2 linked regions of the Tamandua tetradactyla genome follow. The protein of the gene in region 2 interacts with the protein of the main gene of each other region in a biochemical or structural test. Links are inferred from orthologs where the notes say so. Each region holds a gene or a part of one and is shown on either strand. Other genes may lie near its edges.

Region 1 (7,766 bases), on a different chromosome or scaffold from region 2:
TCCACTCTTAGCACTTAGTACTCTTTTCTCTGCCTAAGGGCACAGGTCAGATCTTGTAACTCTGCTTTTTAGGACTCCCATTCTCTCATTTATTCATTCATTCACGAAATATTTACTGAATGCCTGCTTCATATTGTTCAATGGCTATTCAAAGGCACTGTTCAATGCCTTCCCCTTGTATTCAATAAAATCCAAAGCCATATACTCTCCAACTCATCTCCTTAACAAGCCTCCCTTGTATATTACACTTTTATCCTGTTCTTCCAACATGCCAAGCTCATTCCTACCACAGAGGCTTTGCACTCACTTCCTCTCCTGCCTGTGGCACAGTCTGAGGGTTCACTCCTTCAATCACTGCCTTAGTTCGAACTCCACCTTATCAGAGAAGCATTCCCTAACAACTTCTCCAGATGTTTGCCATCATACCACACAATCTCCTTTATAGCACTCACTGCTATCTGAAACCATCTTATTTATTTCCCCCTTAAAGCCTTTCTCCCCCACTAGAACAGAAGCAACTCAAGGACAGGGCCCATATCCATCTTGTCATTACTTGCAATGGGACATAAAAGGACCTCAGTAAATACTTGTTGAATAAACAAAGGAGTTTTGGAAAGTCCATTTTAGGATACCTTAAAGTCTGTTCTGTTATCTTAAATCACACCAAATGCTCTTATATTCCACTAGCTTGACACTGAGAATGCTTTACAGCATTTACGAAGCACTCTTCAATTGGTAGGGCCTCAAGAAGTCAGAATTAAGAAGCTGTTAAACCGGATTGTAGGAAGCCAGTCTCGAAGGCTGAGCTGCAATACCGCCATAACGCTGGCTGCCATAAGCCCTACCATCCCCTAGTTCCTAGCAACCTGGCAGGGGTGTTTTTCTGATGAGAAGTTTCCCACAGAAGACTGGCCTGACTCAGCCTCTATCTTCTGGGAGTGTCTGCGGCAGTGTCTCAGCAAATGAATTAACTCAGCACTGTTCAAACTTAAAAAAAAAAAAAAAGCCTAGGAAAGGAATGTGAAGTCTCTATATCCTCCAAACAGACCCACTGCTTTGAGTGTCAAAGGCAGGCTGTGGTGGATCACTTTTGTCAGACCTCCAATTCCTCACCCTAACAATCACAATAGGATGGCTTCTTGGGGTACTTGATGACCTTCAGAGAAGAGCAACACCCTAGAAATACGGGCTGCCCACACTCAGTTCCTCGTTGGTCACCAACCCTCACCCAACACCGTGGCCTTAAACAGCCTGGGGATTTTAAGTTGGTGTCCCTGCAGGCATCGAACTCTCTTCTCCAGTGTGGTCGGGTCTGCCTCATCCATCAGGGGCTACCCATCTTCATCCCGTCTGGGAGAACTTGGCCAAGCCTGCTGTCCTTACCAAAAGAGGAACACTCTGTCTCCCCCAAACTCTGCTCTTCCCCAATCTGATTCTCTGGTTTCATCAGCCATCACCCCTAGCCAATCTCCACCCACCGCCTTGCCCCCCCCACCCCCCCGCAAAGGCCAGCTGAGCCCACCCCCTGATGTCCAACCTGTAGAGTGTTAATCCTGAAACACACCTTTTGGAGTTTGAGCCTCTGGTCCATCACGGGGAACTGAGTATCAAAATAAGTGTTGTCTCCCTCGACCTATCTAGAGACTGGAAGGAGACCCCCCCCCCCCGCCCCTGCCTCCCCCCAAAACTCCCTGTTTCTGCTGTCCATTCAGAAGTGGGGGTTTGCTCAGCCTTTCTTATCCAAACAACTACCCTGGTGCTCCTATTTCATCTGTTTCTCCCCCTCAACTTCCACCTCCAGCCATTGAGAAACTTCCCATCTGAACATACATATGTATCTCCAATATCCAGAGGTGGAAGGGAGTGAGGTGCAGGCAATCTCTGCAAAACAGGCACTTCTAAGGTATGTTCCCACCGTCCAATCAAAGAGGAGATTTTTCTTCTCTGAAACATCTCTGCAACCTGACCTCTTCCCACTCTTACCCGTTGCGAGGGGCTTCCCTCACTTGATCCCCTCCCCCTCCCACAGACACCCCTAGTTTCCACCCTGTTCCCCTCACCCAACATCGGAGGCTTCCAGGAACTGCCCAATTCAGAGCTTGCCTTCTAAAATCTAACTCGGAGGAACCCATCTGTCCCTTTGAATAAGTGCCTGGTAATGATGGGGTCATTTCACTATCAGTCACCCCGACAAGATCCCTCTGGAATCTGACTCCATTTTCCCCTTCACTCATCCTGTGGAGATACCCTTATTCTCCTCCCAAAGTAGCGACCCCTGGCTTCCTCCTTTCTAATCAACACGCAGATTTCCTCAGCCAACCCCATCCCCAAAACCGACTGGAGCCCCTTAACCCATGGGGGCGGTCCTCTCAGGCATCCCCTCAAGATCCGTTTCCTCCTCCCATCCATCCTGATGGGCTTCTCTGATGTCTCCTCAAAACCAATATCCCACGGCCCCCTCGTCACCCGGGCTCCCAGCACCCAGTCGGGCGCTCCTGCCGCGTTGGGGGTGCATGCTCATCCTCTAGAGAACCCCCCTCGAGCTCTCCCAAGGCGCCGCCAGTCCCAGCTTTCCCAGCTGTGCCCTCAGGGCTCACCCCGGCCTACTCCGGTTTCTCAGCAGCGCCGCTGGGCCCGGCCCTTCCTCCCAGAGGGACCCACAGGCCGCCCGGGGGAGCCTCTGGGCCTTGCCGCGCCGCCCACAGGCCCCTCAGGCCCCCGCCCGTGCTTCCGGCCACCGCCTGCTCCGCCTCCCTCGTAGGGTCGCCCTGGTTGCCGCCTCAGCGCCCAGAGGACGGAGGCAGCGCAAGTGCCCTGGCCTGGCTGCAAGGGTCTTTGTGAGTCCCGGGTTCCCGGCCCGACCCCGCGCCCCGGCGGCTGCGGCCCGGCGCCCCCGCTCACCCGAGCCCGTGGTGGCTGCCATCTTGCGTCGCTGTCGCTCGAAGGCCGGCCCCTTCTTCACCCCCCGCCCGGCCCGGGTCCGCATGCGCAACCGCGCGCGCATGCGCAGACGCCGTCGCTGAGGCCCACTCCGCGCACCCTGCGCCGGGTTGTCGGGACGGTTTTTACTTTCCGTTTTGAGAGAGGAATTACCCGAGGAGAGGAGTCCCTCCGGGCGCGGTGCGAGAGAGGCACCGAGGTGCTTGGTGAGAAGGGCTAGGGTGCTGGGACTCGAGAGGGAACGCGTCAGAATCCAGCCCCGGTCACCCGGGCTTTCCCGGTCTGTCAGGGCCTCCAGCGGCCGCGTCGCCGGGTTCTGTGACAGCGCCAGGCGCGCGGAGGGTCGCACCCACAGCCGCTGCTGGCCGCGGCCGGCTTGAAGGGGCATGGAGCGGGCAGGGAAAGCAGTCGCCCATCCACGCCTTCAGACATAGTTAGTAAGCACCTACTGTGTACCAGGCGCTGTGCCAGGCACCGGGGTGGACGAACATCCCTGAAGAAGTAAGTTCCCGCTCTTAAAGGCTTACGTTCTAGTCAGAGGAGATCCACAGAGAGACAACTAAATAGGAAAGGACATTTTTTCTTATCATGGCTATGATCGAAAGGAGAGTAAATCAGAGAAGGGGCGGCAGGGGTGGTCACGGAGGGCCCCCAGAGGCGGTCGCGTTTCATCCGAACCTGCAGGTGAGAAGGGGTAGAGGAAACAGCAAAGGCCTGGACACAAGTTAAATCCAAGAGTCCCATGGGCTCTTATCCGGATCTGAAGACTGGACTGACAGGGGAGAAGGGACGGGCTCAAGGTCCGCATCTTAAACCCGGGAGACGAAGGACGGGGGGGGGGGGCAGAGAAGCTGGAAGCGCTGGCCAGGCGCGCCCCTGCACCGCCTTGTTCTGACAGGAATGCCTCGGAAGCGTCTCTCAACTCCATCCCCTTCTCCCACTCGGGGCAGGCGGCCCTTGTCTCTGATTTGATGGCCGCAGAGGCTTCCGCTCTTGCCCCCACGGGCCGTTCTCCATGACAGATCTGCTCAAAACACCCTTCTAAAGCCTCAGTGGCTCCCCGTTTCTCCTGGGTAAAATGCAGACCTCCAAACTGAGGAACCATGGACTTAATCGTCCAGCAGGGACAGTCATCAGGAGGAAAGGGGCCTGTTGGAACCTTGCAGAGTCCACCAGCTCCGGCGTGGATCAGCTTGGACGGCCAAGCTGCCCGCGAGGCCCTGGCGGCCCTGTCCGCATCCCAGAGCTGCTGTGGGCTTCTCGAAACCTGGACCCCGACGTGCCCCTCCCTCCTTAGGGCCCCTGCCTGTGCCGTCCCCTCTCTGTCTCAGGAACGCGGGCGCCGCACGGCCGCAGGGAGCCTGCCCTGGTCTCTCTAGCCAGGTCTAAGCTATAATCGGCTCTCTGAGGGCCACGCGTGATGCGCCCTGACGTTCATCCGTGTATCGCGGGGCTGCCTGGAGGAGATCCCTGCGCTGGACTCTGGGTCGTGGTAGCGTCTTCTGGAGGGAAATGGCCGCGGGGCAGCCCTCCCCCGCCGCGCGCTCTGCTGTGGGACTTACCTGTCCTGACTTCGGTTCCGCCTTCTGAAAAGGGGGACAATAGTATCCGCCTTTTCGTGCGGTAAACTGACAGTAAAGCGAAGTGTTGCCCCGGAACCCCACGAGCCTGCCTGGAGTAGCGACCAGCCCACGCGGAAGAGGCCTCCCCGGGTGCTGGCCGGCGCACGCTGGGGGTTGTGGTGCCCCGCCCGGCCGGCCCGCACCCGCCCGCGGCTGCTCCCGGCCGGCACCCCGCCCGGCCCTCCCCCTGCGCTCGGCGGCAGGCCCCTGCGGCCCCACCCCGCACCCCCCACGGCCCAACCCCGCATCCGCCCGCGGCCCCGCCCGGCTCCGCTCGGCCCCGCTCAGCGTCAGCGCTCGTGGCGCCAGCGGCTGGGGCAAGAGCCCTGCTTTATCGGGTTGCTGGGATGAGTGAGACATCACTAGAACTGAGGGATTTAGGAAGTGCCCGCACGGAGTAGGGGCTATGTGAGTATTAGCGCCTTTTAGCCTCCTTTTGTTTTATCCTCAGTGACCGTTGCAAAGTCACTATAAAGACGTTAGTCTCCGTTTTTCAGGCGAGGAAACTGAGGTTGGGGCGAGTTAAATGCCTCTCCTAGGGTCACACAACAAAGAAAGGGGGTAAAATCAGGTTAGAACTCATGTCCCTTAACCCTGTCCTACCTGCCGTTTTCCCTGTGAGGCAGGTGGACGTCAGAGGTTTTAAGCAGGACATGGGCAGGTTTGCATTTTTAGAAAGTGCAGCCTGGCTGTCTCAAGGAGACGGATGGGGCACTCTGGAGGGGAGGTGTGACAGACGCTGTTGGCTGCCAAACCTAGTATTGCTCAGAAACGGGTGTGATGCTAGGTGTGAATCATGATTTGGTCAAGCCAGTCATGGGGACTGCTGTTTCCTTTTGCCAGTGATTTGTCCAGTGGTGTGCCTGTGTCCCTGTTCTGGCCAATTAGCCAGGGAGGGGGATGTTTAGAAAGTTTCTCTCCCCTTAATACTAGCTAGGGAGAGAGCCTTTTTGTCCCTTTTCCTTCTAATGACCATATGAGGTTGTGATGGTCAGAGCTGTGGCAGCCATGGTACGATGCTGATGCACATGCCTAATGCCAAAAAAGCTAGCACACCAAAGATGCCAGCACAGAAGGATGGCGAGAGTTAGGTCCTGGATGGTATGAGCTACTGAAGGAATCCTGAGACTACCTACCTACAGACTTCTTAAGACATGAAATAACAACTGTTGCTTTAGCTGTTCTTAGAGGTAGGTCTCTGTTACTGACAGCAAAAAGTACACTTAACAGATTCAAGAAGCTGGTGCAGGAGTCCAGCCAAGAGATGTAAATTTACCTGGATTGTTCCATGGTGTTCATTCAAAAACTCTAATCTCAAAAAGGTAGGAAAACGCCCAGGCTACGAAAGGCGTTTGAAAAAGTATATTCAAAATGTAAAACCTTTCAACATATTTGTATTTGTAGTCTACATAATATTCAATATAGTTTATAAGATCTATATCTTAATTTTTAAAGCAATGCTTCTCAAACTCTGATTACTAGAGATCTTGCTGAAATGCTGTTTTAGTTTCGTAGGCTGCTTAAAGCAAACAGGAAACGGCTGTGTTAAACAGTGGAAATATGTTTGTTCAGATTTGAGGCCAGGAAAAATGTTCAAATCAAGGCATCCTCAAGATGTTGCTTTCTTCCTGAAGACCGGCTGCTAGCAATCCTTGGCTTCTCTGTCACATGGCAAGGCACAGGGTGGCATCTCCTGGGCTCTCCCTTCTCCTTCAGGTTTCCTTGATTTCAGCTTCTTGCTTCCGTGGCTTTCTCTGTCTGTATTTCATTCTTGTGTAAAGGACTCCAGGATAGGATTAAACCCATCCTGAGTGAGGCAGATCACACTTTAGTTAAGTAACCTCACTTAGAACAGGTTCACACACAGGAATGGATTAAATTTAAGAACATTTTTTTTCTGGGGTACATACAGCTTTGAACAGCCACATGCGGAATCTGATGTCCGACTTCCAGGGATGGCACTGGGATTCGGCATTTGTAACAATCCCCCAGGGGATGCCTCTCCGATTGACAGACCATACTTTGGGTAGCAAGGTGTGGACTGCATCCTATAATGTTATGGCTGTACTTTTACTTATAGTTAAGGGAAAAAAAAAACCCTCCTGCTATAGCCTGTATAATAAAAACTATTGAAAGTAAAGCTGACAAATTGTTGACAGGAAGGGCCACAGACCACCAGAAAATGGATCATAGAATCCCTGGGAGGAGTCTGTGGTTGACAGTGGGCATGACACATTGGCTGGTGCTGTTTTGACACATACATGGACCCATGGACCCCACGTGAGCCATGCACTACAGCATTAGGCACAATTGTGATTTTCATGTGCGATGTGTAGATATTTTATATAAAGGTAGATCCTTTACGTAGTTGCTAAAATATGCTACCTAAAAGGGTTAGGAGTGGATGGGTAGGGGTCATGGTGCTATCTGGTTTGTTTCTGTTTTCTTCTTCCTATACAATTTATTTCTGTAATGTTTGAATTTTGTACTTTTATGGTCAGGAAAAAAGGGAATAAAAACTAGGGATACAGGGCAGGAGAATGACAAAACGGATGAGTTTCCTTCATTTATAAAGAGCTCTTGCATTTTTGTCAAGAAAAAAATGAACCCAAAAGAAAGCAATAATCATAGCAAACATTTATTGAGCATTTACTATGTTCTAGGCACATAGTATTTTGTACATATTAATTCATTTTATCTTCACAACAATCCTATGAGGTAGGTACCATTATTATCCCTATTTTACAGATAAGGAAACTGAGGCACAAACAGGATAAGTAACTTGCCAAAGTAACACAGTTTATAAGTGGCAGAGCTGGGATTTGAGATAGAGATCCAAATGCCTTTTAAGCTCATGATAAGACACACCCAATCTCATTCTACGTATTGTATTTCATTGAATCTAAGTTTTACATTCAAACATCTCTGGAATCAGGATGCATCTTACAATGGATGATATCTTAGATTCCCTGTAATTCGCTAAGAGAAATGCAAATTAAAACCACCTATCAGATTGGCAGAGAACAGAACATTCGATAATGTACTCTGTTGGCAAGGGTGTGAGGTAACAGGCACTCTCAAAAGTTGTTGTGAGAGTATAAATTGGCACAACCCTTGTAGAAGAGGATTGGGAAGGAGGTATCAAAGTTTAAAACACACACCTTTGATCAGCAATTCATTGTTAGGAATCAGCCCTGAACCGAT
Region 2 (7,254 bases):
TAACTGCTACTGATTCACTCCACAGGAGCTGGCTCTGGGGTGCCCTTCCACTGGCATGGGCCCGGGTACTCGGAAGTCATCTATGGTCGTAAGGTCAGCGTGGGATGGGGGTGGTGGCGGGGACTGAGGTTGGGAGCTCACTGGCCACCAGAGCTCAGGAATGATTTCGCAACCTTCAACCCCAGCGCTGGTTCCTGTATCCCCCAGAGAAGACACCAGAGTTCCACCCCAACAAAACCACACTGGCCTGGCTCCAGGATGTGTATCCAGCCCTGGCGCCCTTGGAACGGCCCCTGGAGTGTACCATCCGCCCTGGCGAGGTCTGTGGTTGCCCTGAGGGGGCCAGGCCAGGCTGAGGCCCTGACTCATCCTGGCCCCTCCTCCTGTGTACCAGGTGCTGTATTTCCCTGATCGGTGGTGGCATGCCACCCTCAATCTTGACACCAGCGTCTTCATCTCTACTTTCCTTGGATAGCACCTGCCAAGCCTCCCACAGCCAGCATGTGCCCACGTAGTGCTCACAGACTTTATTCCAGGGCAGTGGCGGTGGTGGCCCCAGCCCACCCAACCCTTGCCTGCTGTTTTGGGCCTGAGGGAGATGGGGGAGGCTTACACCCTAGCTGAGCGCAAACAGTCCAGAGCCAACAGCAGAACGAATGGCGGAGGAGGCAGGTGAGGGACTGGGATCCAGACACCCAAACTATGTACAGAGACCGGGACCCGGGTCCTGGGCTAGGGTGCAGTGAGTGCGGGGAGTGGCCCTTGGTGGGTCCTCCCTCAGTAATCCTCCACCCAGCCGTTCTCGGAGACAAATGCATCGATGACTTCCTTCATGGCCAGGTTGGGGATGAGCTGTTCCTGGGTCAGGGGGCTCCGGGTCACAGGATCAAAGTGGCCCACACGCTGCAGTGACAAGAGGGCCCAAGGGTGCTCAGCTGGCCCCCCTGGGCAAACTGTTGGCTCCAACCCTGCTGCCCTGCCAGGCCTCACCTGCAGGTGCTCCTCGATGTCCTTGCGGTCATAGGTGATGCCACTTGGTGTGATGCATGGCTCCCGCATCAGCTCGAAGCTGATCTTGCCACACAGGTAGTCAGGGATATCACGCTTCTGTGGCACACGGGAGGGATCAGGGCCTGGGGAGGGGACACTGTTCCATCCCCTGCCACCTGCAGGCCCCAGGGCACAGAGCAGCCTCAAGCCTCACCTTTCTCTTCTCATCCACCTGCGAGAAGAGCTCGTCCATGTCTGCCAAGTATTTGTCCTGCAAATAAACACAAAGCTGTGCAATGGCCGGACACTGCAGCTCCCTTCCCCCTGTGCGGGCCTCATGGGCTGGTGGCACGCTCACGTGCTTGGCCTCGATGCAGGCCTGCTGGGCCCGGATGTGGCCATCATCCTCATCACCCTCGTGGCTCCGCCGACATTCTTCCAGTTCCCTGGGGGTCGACCAGGAACTAGTCAGAGATGGGTCTGGGCAAGAGAAGTGAGACCACAACTCCAGCCTCAGGGTTATAGCCCAGACCTTGTCTCCTTTGCTTTCTGCTCGCCAGCACTGATCTCCCATAAACATTTCTGTTTGTGACTCAGTTAACCTCAAAAGTGGGTGATGGGCTAGAGGAGGGCCTGCCCCACCCACCTCTCACGCTCAGCCATGATGAGGCGTGTCAGGTATGAGTGCAGCTCGTTCTCTTGATGGACGCGCCGCTCTTCCATGCTGTTCCAGCGCTTCTTCTTGGCAATGCGCAGAGCACTGGGGATATCATCCCCAAAGTTGAGCCGCTGCTCCTTGGCCAGATTGTACGCTGGGGGAGTGGAGGTGCAAGTCACCTTCTGGCCACCCACCCACCCAGTCCCAGACTGAGGCGCCCTTGCAGCCAGCCTGTTGGCCCACCTCGCTGCAAATTTGCAATGGCTTCGTCATAGCTCTCCATCTCCAGCTGGCACTGACCCAGGAAGAAGTGCGCCTTCACAGACTGCCCATCCAGCTCCAGAGCGCGACGGCAGTCAGCCAATGCCTGCTCAAGCTGCTGCATCTTCAGGTAGCACAGGGCCCGGTTGGTGTAATACACAGCCACCAGGGGGTTCCGTGTCTGGGGACCAAGAGCTGGGTCAACTGGCATGAGGGAGTGAGCTCAGTCTGGGACCTCTGCCCCAAAAAGCTGATGCCCTGCTGCCCCTGGTTCTGTCCCAGCTATAGGGTCCATAACTGGGTGAAAAAAGCTTGAAGCTTCTAAGCTGCCAAAGCTGTTGGGTCAGGACCTGCTGAGGGTGGAGTCTGGCCTGAAGCTTGACAGCCTATCCTGGTTTGACCCAAACTGATTTGGTAACTGAGTTTCCAAACCTATAGGGACCCACGGGGTAAGAGTTCCCAGCTTCCAAACCAGCCGGCCCCAGGTACCCTGAAGCCTAACCCACGAGCGCCGGTCTCGACAGCCCCGGCCTCTGCCCAATGACAACAAGAGGCTTACCTAGTGCTCGGGGCCCATGTCCCGCAGGTAGGAGCCGAGATCCTCGGCGGGACCGGCTGGGAGGCCGGCTAGGGGATGGTGCTGGATGCGGGGTGGAGCCGGGAGCCCCGCCCCTCGCCCCCATCCCGACCTCGATCCCGTCCGGGCCCCGGCGCACTCACGATGGCGCGGCCGTAGCAGGCCGCTGCCTCCGGGTACTTGCGGCCCACAAACAGCCGGTTGCCCTGCTCCTTGAGCTCCTGCGCGCTCGGGCTCTTCTCAGGGCTTCCGCCGCCCAGCCGCGCGCCGCTCTCCTTCTCCTCCTTGCCCTTCATGGCGCCGCGCGGCCCGGCCTGGGCTCCGCGCCCGGCCCGCCCTGCACCCGCCGCCCGAGGCCCCGCCGAAGCCCGGGATCCACTCGGGCCAGGTCTACGGAGCCGCCACCGGAACTTCCGGCCGCGCGGGGGCGGGGCCGCGCGTGCGCGACGCGCCTCGCGACGGGGAGGGGCTACGCGGTAGCTGCCGCCGAGGAGAACGTGGCGGCCGCGAGGGTCGCCTGAGGCCCCGAGGCTGAGGCGGCTGGGCTGCCCGACCCCCGCCTGACGCCACGAGTACTTTTTCTCGAGGCTCGTGGGCTGCACGCGTGCACGGAGCCGCGCTTCCGAGGCTCCTCGGAGTCGACCCCGCCTCCCATCGGAGCCCCGCCCCCCGATTGGACCCTCCCCCCGCGAAGCCCCGCCCCGGCGCGCAGACTCGCTGCGCGCCCTCCTGCGGGCGGGATGGGGTGGCAGGCGGGGCGCACCCCGCCGCCCGGCTCCCGTGATCCCGTCCAGGCATCCGGAGAATTCGCCGCGGTCCTCGAGGCCGGCCAACAAGCGCGTGACCCGAGGCGCACCGGAGCGGCCGGGGTCGAGGGAAAGGGCAGCGGGGGTGCAGCCTCGCCTCCCCAGTGCCCCACATGCGACCCCGGCCCGGCTGCCGCTCGTGCTCCATGGTGACCCCGAACTCGGCGCCGCCACCTTCCGGCCCTCGTGCCCGCCGGTCACGGAGGCCGTGGCGCGGCGAGGGCGAAGCGGCCGTGGGCAGCCCTCGTCACCGGCTGTTCGAGGGCCGAGGGCTTGGAGCAGGGGCGGCCTTCGCGGTGCCGGCGGAGGGGAGCAGGCGCGCCCGGGTTCCTTCTGCCCCTCCCAGCCGGAGCCTGGAAACCGCGGCCGCACCGCCCCGCTGCCCGCCCCCGGCTCCAGCCGCTTGGCGGTGGGCGCCGGACGAGTCCCCCAGCCCCGGCAGCGCCACCCGGTGCCGTGTAGAATATTTATTCGTTCTCCAAAAAGGCTCAGTCTGCAGGTCCCGGGGTGGGGCCGGGCCGGGGCCTCCTCGGGGGCCTCCCGCCCCAGGCTGCAGCGCTCGGCGGCCCGCCAGCAGGAGGGCACCGCTTCGGGGCGCACGCTCGGGGCGGTGGGCGCACTGCCCCCGCGCCTGCCCGGGGCCGCGACGTCAGGGCGGCGGGGGGACGTGGGCGCCTAGGAGGTCATAGGCGAAGACGTTCCAGAAAACGGCGAAGAGCAGGAAGGTGCCGTAGGCAAGCAGCACCACCCACCAGCCGCACTGGTCCCGCAGGCGCTCCTCGTAGCTGCGCAGGATGGTCAGCCCCATGCTCACGCCCACCACCGCGCCTGCCAGGTGCGCCATGAAGCTGGGCTGCGGGCCCGAGGCGGGCAGCGGCGGGGAGAAGCGCAGCCACACGGCCCGGCCCACCTCGGAACTCACTGCGGAGGCAAGCGCAGCGCTGGGGAGGCGCCCCGGGTGGGGGGCCCGCCCGCCCGGCAGCCCCCTACTCACTGCACACCAGCGCCAGCACCATCCTCAGCAGCTTGTAGGGACACCGCATGCCCGCCCAGTTCTGCCGGGGCAAGCATAGAGACGGCATCAGGCCCGGCCCCGCGGCCCCTTCCCGGCCCCCAGGCGCCCCCTTACCATGACAACGTTGGCCAGGTGCGCCGAGCAGAGCGCGTAGACACCGCCGGAGCCCCCTACCACGGGGGCCCGCATGTCGGTGATGGAGACGGTCAGGGAGCCTGCGGGCAGGAGAGGCCGTGAGGGCGGCCCGCGGGCGGGTGGGGTGCGCCCGTCCCCCCGCCTCACCTGCCAGCACGCCCGCCAGGTAGAGGAGGCTGATGCGCAGCAGCCCGTGCACCATCTCCAGCGGCACCCCGATCATCAGCTGCAGCAGCGCGTTGAAGCCCAGCTGCTCCAGCCTGGCCGCGCGGGGCAGAAGCACGCAAGGGTGTGAGGGGCGCGGCACTCTCGGTTGTCCCCGCCCCCCACCCCCGCTCGGCGGTGCCGACGCCCCCGCGGGTCCCACTCACCCGACGTGCATGAACATGTACGTGAGAAAGCGCCAGGCGCGCGCGCGGTGCCCGGGGTGGTACACGAGGGGGCTCTTCATGTACTCGGGGTGGTAGGTCTGCAGCACCCACTTGTTGAGGCGGGCCCCGTAGCACAGAAACACGACAATCTGGGGTGCGGGCCCGAAGGTTAGGGCATGCCGGGTGCGGGCAGCTCGCGGCCTAGGGGCGCGGCTCACCTGGGCGAGCGTGACAGAGGCCATGAACACGGGGGGCGGGCAGCTGCGGTGCCGGTAGAAGTACCAGCGGCGGTCCACCTCGCAGGGCAGGATCTCGTAGGCCACGTAGCGCACGAAGCGTTTGTAGACGCCCAGGCCCGGCTCGTCCAGCAGCCCATCCCGGGGCAGGGCCCGCTGCCCGTTGGCCATGGCGCGCTTGAAGCTGCTGGAGCGCTTGCTGCTGATCTGGGGCGCGGGGCCTGGGCGTGGGCCATGGTGCCCCTCCCGTAGCACCTCCCTGCCCAGAAGACCTCCCCAGCAGGAAGGGTGGGGAGGAAGGCACCCCTGCCCACCCCCGCAGCCCCCGCTGCCCGCCCCGCCTGGCACTGACCAGATCCACCAGCTCCTGGTAGCACACCTGGCCCTGCTCGTTGCTCTGGGCCAGGGCCACCAGCATGTCCAGTTTGGAGGGGTCCAGGGGCAGCTCATGGCTGTGCACCAGGCCAGCGAAGGTATCAGCACCAATGAAGCCTGTGTTCTCGGGGTCCAGTTGCTGGAGGGAGAGGGGTGACCAAGGCCTGAGGGCAGCCCGGCCCCCCACACCACAGGGGTGGGCCAGGTTCCGAGCAGTCCTCGGGCTCGGGGGGCTCCAGGGACTGCCTGCCTCAGCTCCACCCTGTCTCGGGAGGGGTGGGTCTCCCACTCATCCTCTTCTGGGGGCGCAAACGCAGGGGCCAAGGTCGCGCGGGAAGGGGACGGCGGGGTGCAGGGGCTGGGGGCTTGACGCTCTCGGGGGAGTCCCGCCGCAGCCGCCGGGAGGGCCTCGCGGGGTGGGCGTCGCCCCTGCCCCCTTTCCCACGCACCTGCTCCTGGATGAGCTGCAGCAGCGAGCTCCTGTCCATAGAGCCGGGCCGGGGCGGGCGGCCGCGGGCCGGGCCGGACTGCTCTGCGGTCTCCGCTCCGCCCCGGCCGGCCCGCTCCGCCTGCTCAGCTCGGCGCCGCCGCGCTGGGGGCCGCGTCACGGAGCCACCGCCCCGCCCGCTCCGTGCTGCACACGCCGCCCGCCGGCGCGCAGAGGCACCGCCCCGCATGCACGCGGCTCCCGCGCGCCGCCCGCCCCACCGCGGAGCCGGGTTGCAGCTTCGCCTCCCGCATTCAGCGGCTGAGATTGACTCAGGTTGCTGCGCCCTAGTCTCCTCCCGTGCTGCACCTGCCCAGTGTCCATCCTCCCCATCTCAGGGAGCCCCAGCCTCGGAGTGCAGTCATCTTCAGCAGGCAGCCTTCCTGGCCACCACTCCTCAGGCATCCGCGCTTCCCACTCCCTCTGGCTCATTTGCTCACTGGCTAGACCAGCCCCTGCTGGGTACCCCCACCCTATGCCTGGGAAGGCCACTGCTGCCACCCACGCGGGCCAGGGGAGGGGAGGCCGCGGGGCCCTGCTCAGCCAGCCCAGCCTGCCCCATCGTGGGCTCAGTAGCGTCCTTGCCACAGGTGCTGGACGGCCAACCTGCTGAGCCCCAGGGAACACCAGGGCCTGGCCCAGGGTTCTTAGGCAGGTCTGGGCCAGCAGGACAGAGTCCCAGGTAGGCAGGGCTGCAGCCAGAACTTCTGAAGGCCAGGCGGACAGACCCGGGTAGTAGTGTGACAGAGACCAAGGGGATGGGCAGCCATAGCAACCCCTCCACAGGCCAGTCGGAGCTCAGGGCTCACTCCCACTGGGGCCACTGCTCCAGGCTGCTGAGCCCTGGGCAGGAACATCAGGCCAGATGCAGCTTCCTGCTCACCCAGAAGCAGGCCCAGGGAGGCCAGCAGTGCAAGGGTCACAGTCAAGACCCTCCAGGACCAGCCCTGAGTGGCCCCACACGGCAGCTGCCCTCCCCAGCGGGTCACAGCACTTGGCTGGCTCAGGGGTCTGCCCAGCACAGGAGGGCACGGACAGGGCCAAGGAAGGGCCCTGGGGTGCAGAGGCAGCCCTGGCTCCTCCCCCTCCCTCTGCCGTGGGGTTCTGGGTGCCAGCCCCCAAGCACCGGGGCCAGCAGATAATGGCACTTGGCTTGGGCCAGGAACACCCAACGGGGCTGCTCTGCGAAGCTGATGGGCCCCCCTACCCTAAGCCAGCCCTCCCCTCAGCCAGGGGATTGTGACTGTCCTGTAGGAGGAATGGACAGCCCCTGGCCAGGAACCAGCTTGACCAATACTGATGGTGCCAGCATGAACAGAACGGCCCCATGTCCCAGCCATCGC

The links.
Region 1: the proteins of STUB1 (region 2) and UBE2V1 form a complex in vitro, tested with the Homo sapiens proteins (4 studies listed by BioGRID). The link is inferred for Tamandua tetradactyla from reciprocal best matches to the Homo sapiens genes STUB1 and UBE2V1.

Annotation. Positions count from the first base shown.
Region 1 is NC_135327.1:2,664,810-2,672,575, reverse strand, and holds the start of UBE2V1 (ubiquitin-conjugating enzyme E2 variant 1), read right to left. Parts: upstream 3,013-7,766; 5' UTR 3,005-3,012; coding exon 2,902-3,004; intron 2,704-2,901; exon of another isoform or gene 2,598-2,703; intron 1-2,597. UniProt on the Homo sapiens protein: Has no ubiquitin ligase activity on its own. The UBE2V1-UBE2N heterodimer catalyzes the synthesis of non-canonical poly-ubiquitin chains that are linked through Lys-63.
Region 2 is NC_135349.1:56,698,741-56,705,994, forward strand, and holds STUB1 (E3 ubiquitin-protein ligase CHIP), read right to left. Parts: upstream 2,877-7,254; 5' UTR 2,783-2,876; coding exon 2,630-2,782; intron 2,091-2,629; coding exon 1,892-2,090; intron 1,803-1,891; coding exon 1,637-1,802; intron 1,437-1,636; coding exon 1,349-1,436; intron 1,290-1,348; exon of another isoform or gene 1,262-1,289; coding exon 1,205-1,261; exon of another isoform or gene 1,108-1,204; coding exon 778-1,107; 3' UTR 513-777; downstream 1-512. Other genes in the region: JMJD8 (jmjC domain-containing protein 8), read left to right, coding at 26-93, 186-320, 395-475; RHBDL1 (rhomboid-related protein 1), read right to left, coding at 3,942-4,213, 4,287-4,347, 4,422-4,522, 4,590-4,702, 4,814-4,962, 5,032-5,256, 5,402-5,563, 5,874-5,912. UniProt on the Homo sapiens protein: E3 ubiquitin-protein ligase which targets misfolded chaperone substrates towards proteasomal degradation.